Schizosaccharomyces pombe: one gene and its partner. The gene in region 1 interacts genetically with each later gene. Each region holds a gene or a part of one and is shown on either strand. Other genes may lie near its edges.

Region 1 (4,289 bases):
TGGTGCTACTGCGTCATTTAGCTGAGAATCTCGTTAATCACATATCCAGCATATACGCTTCTCATTCATCTTGTCTTCTCCAAGTCAAATCTGAGACTGCCGCAATCTTTAGTAACTTATTGTCTCGTCTTTTGCGTGTCAACGATACGGCTCATGCTGCTGCTAGGTTCCTTGCCAACCCTGCCGACAGGCATTTAATTTGTAACGACTGGGAACGATTTGTCAGTACAAGATTTATTGTACATAGAGAATTAATGTGCAATGACAAAGAAGCAGTAGCCGCGTTGGATGAGTGGTATTCTATCCTTTCAACCTGTTCAAATCCTTCTGAGCTTTTAGACCCTTTGAAGGACAAACATGAAGCCAGTGATACATCAATGAACAGGGTCGAACTTCGACAAATTGATGGTGTTTTAGATCGTATGGCAGATTTTTTTCTGGAGTTGCCTTCCAGATTTCCCTCCTGCTCTCCTAGAATGTTTCTTCTATGCCTAGGCGCTTTACAAACTAGTGTGCTTCGTGAAATCACGGTCAGTGGAGGTGAAGCATTTGGGGCTCTTTGGGTAATTAGATGTTGGGTCGATGAATACATGACTTGGGTGGCAGAGATTGGCGGATACCTCGATGATAGTTATGATGAGCTGGAACAGCATCATGCTAACTTTCATAATAAAGCTGGAATATCTCAGAGTAATATCCCTCCTCATTTACAGGAGCACCGTCAATCCCAGCAACACTTCCAACAAGACATCGAAGCTTTGCAATCACAACAACAACAACAAGCCACTAAAAATTCCTTGATGGAAGCTGCCTACCAGAATGCTCAGAAGCAAAAGGAAGACGACTATATATCCATTGTATTTGATACAAATGGTGCTTGTAGTTGATGTACAATATAGTTGACCCTTTTTAGGGCTTCGAAAAAGCAAGCGTAATTACACTGACAAAAGTTAATATCATTCATATTATTGTTTTTGTTTTTTAATATATGTTTCTTTTGTTCAGGAGGTCTATTTGTTTAAGTCTGTGAACTTTTGAAATGCAATTAGATTACTATAATCCTGGCGCTTGTTTCTTATGGGTGAACGTCCATACATATACCAAATTGAAAGTGACTATACTTTATATTTGTTTTTTATTTCTTTTAAAATTTCACTGTCAGTAAATAGAGTTTCAACATTTTTGTCTTTAATTTTGATATCGACTATCACATATGTATTGATTAATATAAATGTTCTCCGATAACTATTTTATAAAACCTATTTAAACTATTGAGTGTAATTATTGCATTTCTCTGGCAGTAACAAGAATATTAAGCCCATACAAATGAGGAAATTGGCATCGATATCATTCAACAAGAATAGCGAACCCCCAAAAAAACAGCATCATACTAAAAGCGAACTTTCTACGAGAAACTTCGTGTTTAAAAAACAAGACTTCAAATAAAATGTTTAAATATTCCCCTTAAAGACCATATATTAAATTAAAAAAACGACAAAATAACTTAAACAACGGAAAATGGAAACATCAACCACTATTTCAAGTAAGAAGGTTTTCGGCGCTGCTGAAGTTTTTTATATTGCCCCTTCCGTCCACTCATTTTCGATTTTTGTAATTCTAGATATTTTTTCTTGAAGTACGATCGTCTTTCTGAATCGTGCAATAATTCGTCAACAATTGTCTCTTTGCGCTCTCGAGTGGGGATACGACTAGAGTAAAAGTCCTGAGGACCTTCAACGATGGAACCCACCTGAAAGTATTTGGGCATAGATTTCGTGTTTTCCCTTCGGTAATGCCGTTTCGGATCTAGTGCATTTCTCATCTTCAATAGCTGAATGTCGCGTTTCACCGATTCTGTGAGCTCGGTGGCAGGCATGTCAAACCAATTCGATCCAGCAGTGTCTTTAATATTTTTCTTCTTCTTTGATATACCAGGGGCTGAAACATGACTTTCATAAATAGGTACTGTTGGCTCGAACGACGCATCATTAATATATGACTCGCTATTCTCCACTAATTCATCTTTTTTCAATCCCATAACGAATTTCTTTTCAAAATATGAAGGCAATTCAAAAGAAGAGCTGATTATTTTGGGAATTTTGGTGAGCAACTTTTGTTGGCCATGCTTATCATCGTCAGACGCTTGCTTTTCTTGTAATGTGGATTTTGCAGATTCTAGTAGCTTTGAGATTGTTGCTAAATCTACAGAGAGCCCAATCTCAGTCATTGTTAAAAATAAACGGATTTAGGCAAAAGCGTTGTCAGTAGATGAAGAAAGGCAATTGACCAACTTTACTTTCGCAAAAATCATCCACAAGTAACATAAAATCTAAATGTACCTTTAACGTATCACAAGTGTTCATTGTTAAAAGCAGCTTAACGTTCTCACAAATCGGTCTAGTGTAATACGAAATATTTCGCAATTAATGCCCCCTTCCTCGGCACTGGGAGGGACATGAGTATACAAAGGATGCTTAACCACGAACTCGACATAAAGTGTTGTATAAATCTGCTGTAAGACATGAGTTAAAGAATCTATCTTTGGATTTGTAATGAAAATCAAACGTAGATTCGTAGGTGTTTCGTAAAAATGTAGTTTGTATTTGCTGGTCGTATAGGACATGAATTGATCTTGGTCAGCTGTGATTTTCTTTACCATATTTCTCAAGGAAAATACTACACCAAAAATGAGTTTCTCCATGTCATCTTCAATAGAATTTTGTTCCAACTGAGAAACTAACGTTTCCATAGAGTTGCGATCCGAGGGTTTCCACCTATGTGCGAAAACACATTCACCTACATTTTTGTTAGTTGAATCATGTGGCAAGCCTAATAAAGCATACATTTTCTGCTATAAATATAAAAGGCATAAATAGTCATAATAAATACTACAGGAAAAAGACGGATAATATCGAGAATGCTAATGATGATTTGCTAAGTCGTGACTTTTGGTGTACTAAGTAAGGGCTCTGGCTAACAGCGTGCAGTCAAGCATTATCTCAGTTGGACGATGCTATCATTGAACATATTCGGTAAAAGCAACTTTATTTATAGTTAAACTAAAGAAAGCAAATTATTTAGACCACAATCAGCAAGTGGTCTTCGAACGTTGGACTGTTGCAGCTAAATGGATTTAAAATAAAAAAATAAAGCGTTTAAGTTCTGTCCAAAAATTGGCGGCTTCCTATACACTCATTATTTGAAATGAGTTTACACGATTCCGACAAGCAAATTAACTTTTTCAACTGTTAACTGCTAGTATTGTAGGTATCAATAAATACATATAATATTTCTATTGTAAATTAGTTACCAATATGAAGGGATATTATATCCCGGCTTCAACACCAGCGCTGACAAACTAAGGGTTTTTTTTTTTTTTTTTTTTTTTTTTTTTAATTCCTAGCAACCTCAAAAGCATAAGCGTTATCCCTTCGAAGCTATTGTTATTCTCATCTTATGATTTTATACCCTTGATCTGATGAAATTGATACAATTATTATTATAAAAATTATTTTTGCTTTTCCTTACAGGTTTGGGTCCGAAGACCGTGAAAATTTAAACAACTTTCCCTTTATTCATGTTATATCGTTCAGAAATATGTCTACTCTAGAAAACACTAAAATAAACAAAAATCCGGAAATATAGATTTTTGTCAACAAAAAAAAAATAATAACTCGATTGGCAATTGGCATAAACTGTAATTTTATTTCATTCATCGTGATAATACAGTTAACAAAACAATGGCTCTGTAAAACAATTTGCACTCAAGCAATATGTTTTTTCTGCTTATTCAGCATAGCAAGCGTTGGTCCTCCAAAAATAAAGGTAGACACAATCCATTTCATTGAACTACAAAATGGCAATCCCTTTTTTAAACATAATAGGAAAGCAATTGCACTCTCAATGGAATGGCAAATGACCAAAAAATAAACAGTTCCATACAATATTTTAGGCCCTAAAAATTGTCGCCTTGTTTTCATGTTAGCTTTCTTGTTTATTTACATTATTATTCTTTATATTTCTTTGCAGAATTTCATATTCACTTACACACTTTCAAAGTAATGTAATCCATAATATGGCTCCACGTAGATAATGTACATTTGCAAAAGCACTACAAGTGGAATATATTTTCCAACGGGATTTTTAGGCACATGTAAATTCAGGCAGGACATATTGTAATGATCTTAGTTTGGTCTAAATTTACTCAGGTTCTATATAGGTAGAAGAATTCTTTAAACGGGATATCTATAGTATGACCATCAATACAAATAGCAAACGTTAAGGAAGCG
Region 2 (5,070 bases), on another chromosome or scaffold:
TTTAGGTATTATTATTGTTTATTCTTGACACAATGGAGAAACTTTTGGCCTTCAGTACGCAGTTGCAAGCTCAAGGAAACTCTTCCAATTCTCCTCCTGATCCTAAAGACCTTGATCCCTCAGTTTTAGATCATATTTTTGGAGCAAACCCAGCTGATGAAATGAGGAAAGCGATGGACGCAATTGAGGATCCATCGGTACCTTTAGATCAGAAAGAGATAGCTTTTGACAACTTAGAAATGCTCGTAGAGCATATTGACAATGCAAATAATTTGGTTCCCCTGCAATTGTGGCCTCGCCTATTGAAACAGCTTGAGAGTCCGGAATCTACCTTGCGCAGATTAGCTGCTTGGACGATCGCAACTGCCGTTCAAAATAATCCTAAATCTCAACAAGCGCTTATAGAAAATGATGGATTGAAGATTCTCTTCGGCGCCCTAAAAAAAGAGGATTCGGATGAAACAAAAAATAAAGTCCTTTATGCAATAACTAGTGAGCTTAAACTTAACGAAGCTGGAATTGCTTTATTAGATAAAATCCCAAACTCTTGGGAAATGCTGATTGAAATCTTGGAGCTTAAACACTCGGTTATGACAAAACGAGTTATCTTTTTTTTCTATGCATTACTTATTCAAGAAGATAAATCAAAACAAATTATTCTTCAAAAGGCACACGAATTTCAGATTCCAGAAAAAGTTTATCAATTCAGTCTTGAACATTCTGTCGATGAGGATTGTGTTACCAAATCTCTTCATACACTTTATTTATTCCAGAAAAATAAAGTGTCTGTCGCAAATACTAACGAGTTATTAAAGTCGCTCGTACAATTTAAGTCAGAGTTTCCTGAAATTTTCACCGTCGATGAATGGAAAGCATTTCACGAAGCTCTTGAATAAAGGTTGAAAGCTTCGATTACTATTTTTATTATTCATGTGGACTACGGAGCAATATAATGAGATGTTTTATTTCGTTTATGACTGATAAACAATTTTTTGGTTATTTGGAAAGGATACTCTAGTAACTGTGGTACTTAAAAAGTAAGATAATCGTAAATTCATTAAAGTGTACGAGTACTTCTGTAACTTCTATCTGGATTTTCTCTCTCAGTATATCTATCGCTTCTATGAGAACGTTTTTTATATGAATAACTCCTTCCTTGATAGTAATCATCTGAATAACGGTCTGTTCGATGTTGTTTCCGGCGCTCCGAATGGTATTCGCGATACTTAGTTCTGTCTGGATCTCTATCGCGTTTGTTGTAATTTCGTGAATTATAATCTAAATGTTTACTGCTCACTGAAGACTCTCTTGAGAGGTTGTTATCTCGGCTTCTTTTTCTGAATAGTTCTGAACTGGGAGTTAAGTTGTCAATGGAATTTGACTTCTTCTGTACTTCAGTATGTTCGTTTTGTGAATTCAGAGCGGAATTTGATTCTAGAGGCTTAACAGGAAGAAACATAGTCTTTTTTGGATTTTTCCAAATATCCAGCTCAGTAAGTTCGGAATCCACAGGCTTGGCTCCCATACCCAAAAACGTCGGCCTTTGATTAACATCAAAAGCATCTTTAGAAGATAATTGACCATTCCAACCCATTCCTCGAAGCATGGCGGCGCCAAATTCTTCAACCGGAATTTCCGAGTAATCTTTCATATTAGAAGGCTCCGGAAGCTCGTCAATGTCTTTTCTATATGCATCTTTCTCGTTAACAACATTAGTGGTAATCGGCTGTAAGTTGGCAGAATTAGCACTTTTAACATCGTCATTTAAATCATTAAGGACAAGTTGGACTTCTTCAGGAAGAATATCAGTACTTTCTTTATTTGTGGCTATCTTATTTTGAGCCTTTTCATTTGAATTATTTGCCTTCCAGTCCACAATTTCATTATCCGCTGCTGATGAAGAAGCCACCCGAATATTTAGACCATAATTTAAGCCGCTATCTGGCAATTGTGAAGGTTTCTCATGAACTTCTGTTTCTTTTTTTTTAAACCTGGCTTTTCTTTTTTCCATCCAGTTCTCATCACTTGCAATGTGGATTATCTTTGGCGCTCTTTTCTTTTCGTGTATGCGCTGAATAGTTTCATTCTGATAATGAACTCCCTCTTCAGCGCTAAATCCAGTAATAAGTTGAGGACCTTTTAATTTTTTTTCATCTTCATCCTCAGAATCGCTGAATGCTTCTAATACGGCTTTTCGCTTCATCAGAGTTATTATGATAACTCACTTGTTTGCGACTAAGCGTATTACAATGAACAAAAAAAATAAAATGGCAAAAATCGGCCAGATTATAAGTAGGAAGGAAAGTTTAAAATTACAGTGAAAATAGTCTTGAGAATAATCACATTCGTACAATGAGAGTTGTGAAGCTTTTCAGGAATTTTTCGTTGCCCAGACATGGAATAGTGTGTGCTCCCTTTACCTCTTTATTTGGATTACAGAATTCATGCTCATTTCTCCCTTACTTAAAACGCACCTTCAAATAGCAGTAAAAAAATAGCTTTTTTATTTAGTGGCATTTTTTATTAATATAAAAGTATAAACAATTTTGGTTGAAACGAAAGCCTACTGTTAATATCAACCTTTAGTCTCAAATTGCATCTATCCTTGTATAATATTGCATACAACAAGTTTTAAGGTAATCTTTAAAATACGTTAAGAAAAATATGTTTAAGCAAATAGCTTAACTCAATTAGCACCATAGATTTGGTATAGTGCGTTATTATGTATTGTACGGCAGTGAGCAATGTGTTTAATCAAGAACACTCCTTCTTAGTTGGTGAGTAGTTTACTACTTTTAAAGCCATTTGTGATTGAGCCTGGAATGATTGACTTGTTTGCGATAGTTAATAAAGGAGGCATAGTACTTTGGAAAAAAACAAATTCTCTTGTTAATTTGAAATGCCTTCAAGTTTTATTTCACGAAGCTTTCTTAAGTGAGCAAAGAACGGTGAACAACACCGTAACATTTGATCGGTACACCATGCAGTATCAAGAGGCTACACAATATAGCATAGTTTTTGTGGTAAGTTTAATATATTGTGATTTGTGCTTTGACAGAAATTGTCAATTACTATACACCCAAAATGAGGTCCAAAAATTTTTTTGTTTATACTTTATCTTTGATTTTCTATTATTTGTCAAAGTCAAAGCCATACCTTTATCGTGTCATTTGAACTTAATTAACGCGGTTGAATTTTTAGGTTGTGTTTCAAGATTTGAAATGTATGGCATATTCTCAATCACTGCTTAATAGTGCTCATAATATATTTCTGAATCTATTTAAAGAAAAATTAGAAGATCGTCAAGTTCCTAATGAAGCAGAAGTTGAAAAACTGTTCGCTCCCATTTTTAATCGTAAATCAGCACAACTGGAGAATGAAACAGACACGAAATCTTTACCTGTTGAGGCTAATAATGATAACTCAGCAAGAAAGAAAAATGAATATGAAATGAAGAAAAAAGGCGCTCAATCCAAGCAAACAAATGCCCCTAAAAAAGGAAAGAAGCAACTCAGAAAATGGGATGATCAAATAACTGAGGAAGAACAGGCTGCATTGAACTATTCTAGTCAAGCATCTTCTGCTTCCCAAACAGTCGATAATTCCCAACTTTCTTCTATTGTGGGTAATAATAATAAGTTTCAAAAGACTGGTAGTGGTGATGTTATTATAAGTGATTTGGAAATGGATCCCAATCAAACAATTTCCAATAAATCTGCATCTTCTGCGTTTTCCCTTTTCTCCAACTTAATAGGTGGGAAATACTTGAAGGAGGAGGATCTTAGTCCAATTTTAAAGCAAATGCAAGAACATTTAACAAAAAAGAATGTCGCAAATTCTATAGCTCTGGAGCTTTGTGAATCTGTGAAGGCTTCGTTGATAAACAAAAAAGTTGGTTCGTTTGATACTGTGAAAAACACAGTAAACAAGGCCTTTCGGGATAGGCTTACTCAAATACTCACCCCAAGTACATCTTTGGACCTTTTGCATAGTATTCGTTCTGTACGCAAAAACGAAAACCGTCCGTATACCATTTCTCTCATTGGCGTCAATGGTGTTGGAAAATCTACAACATTGGCTAAAATAGCGTATTGGCTTTTATCTAACAACTTTCGAATCTTAGTTGCTGCCTGCGATACTTTTCGCTCGGGTGCAATTGAACAACTCGGAGTACATGTGAAAAATCTCCAAAGTTTGAAGGGTAGCTCCATTGAATTATTTGCACAGGGATATGGTAAAGACTCGAGCTTTGTTGTTAAGAACGCTGTTGAGTATGCCAAGCAAAATAGTTTTGATGTTATATTAATTGATACTGCTGGCCGGAGACATAACGATCAAAGGCTTATGGGATCATTGGAAAAGGTAATTACTTACAAAATTGATTAAGTATTGAGTCTTCTACTAAGATAGAATTGTTTGAACTTTGAACTAACATAACAGTTTACTAAAGCTACTAAGCTGGATAAAATTTTTCAAGTGGCAGAAGCATTAGTAGGAACAGATTCCTTAGCACAAGCAAAACATTTCCAAGCTTCCCTTTATCATCGCCCATTGGATGGTTTTATTATTTCTAAAGTTGATACTGTGGGTCAGCTAGTTGGTGTTATGGTTGGCATGGTATACGCGGTAAGGGTACCTATCATATTCGTAGGCATTGGACAAACTTACAGTGATCTTCGTACATTATCAGTCGACTGGGTAGTTGATCAACTGATGAAGTAAGCCATTAAATGTTTACCTTTAACTATAAGATTTTTTACCATATTATATTAATGGGATATCAATTACTTTGGTAACAATTTTTTTAAGCTTAATTGTTTTTTTATTTGTTCGTTGAATCAGTATTCGAGATTTAGTTTTGTATTGGTTTCCGTTTAGTACCTTTCGCAGTGCGCGTGTGGGTCAATTTAGCGATTTCAAATATTCTAATATCAAACCGCTAAAATCTTGTTTTTCTCATTTCATTCATTCAGCGATTAAAATACTTAAAAATATTAAAAAACATGGGCATATTAAAGAAAACTATCTTTATAGGAGGTATATACGGTCTAGGTGTCTACATTGGTGCGG

What was found.
Region 2: mutations in fcf2 (region 1) and cwf28 together harm fitness more than expected from each alone (negative genetic interaction), as found in Schizosaccharomyces pombe (one large-scale study listed by BioGRID).

Annotation. Positions count from the first base shown.
Region 1 is NC_003424.3:3,143,805-3,148,093, reverse strand, and holds fcf2 (rRNA processing protein Fcf2), read right to left. Parts: upstream 2,228-4,289; coding exon 1,535-2,227; downstream 1-1,534. Other genes in the region: DNA-binding transcription factor Sak1, read left to right, coding at 1-887; TRAPP complex subunit Bet5, read right to left, coding at 2,366-2,796, 2,844-2,880; SPOM_SPAC688.16 (uncharacterized protein), read right to left, coding at 3,765-3,969, 4,048-4,172. UniProt on the Schizosaccharomyces pombe protein: Involved in pre-rRNA processing and 40S ribosomal subunit assembly. Required for the early cleavage steps of 35S rRNA at the A(0), A(1), and A(2) sites.
Region 2 is NC_003423.3:3,990,635-3,995,704, forward strand, and holds cwf28 (splicing factor Cwf28), read right to left. Parts: upstream 2,352-5,070; 5' UTR 2,204-2,351; coding exon 1,058-2,203; 3' UTR 978-1,057; downstream 1-977. Other genes in the region: fes1 (Hsp70 nucleotide exchange factor), read left to right, coding at 33-896; signal recognition particle receptor alpha subunit Srp101, read left to right, coding at 2,823-3,023, 3,202-4,362, 4,441-4,722; oms1 (methyltransferase), read left to right, coding at 5,004-5,070. UniProt on the Schizosaccharomyces pombe protein: Involved in spliceosome maturation and the first step of pre-mRNA splicing.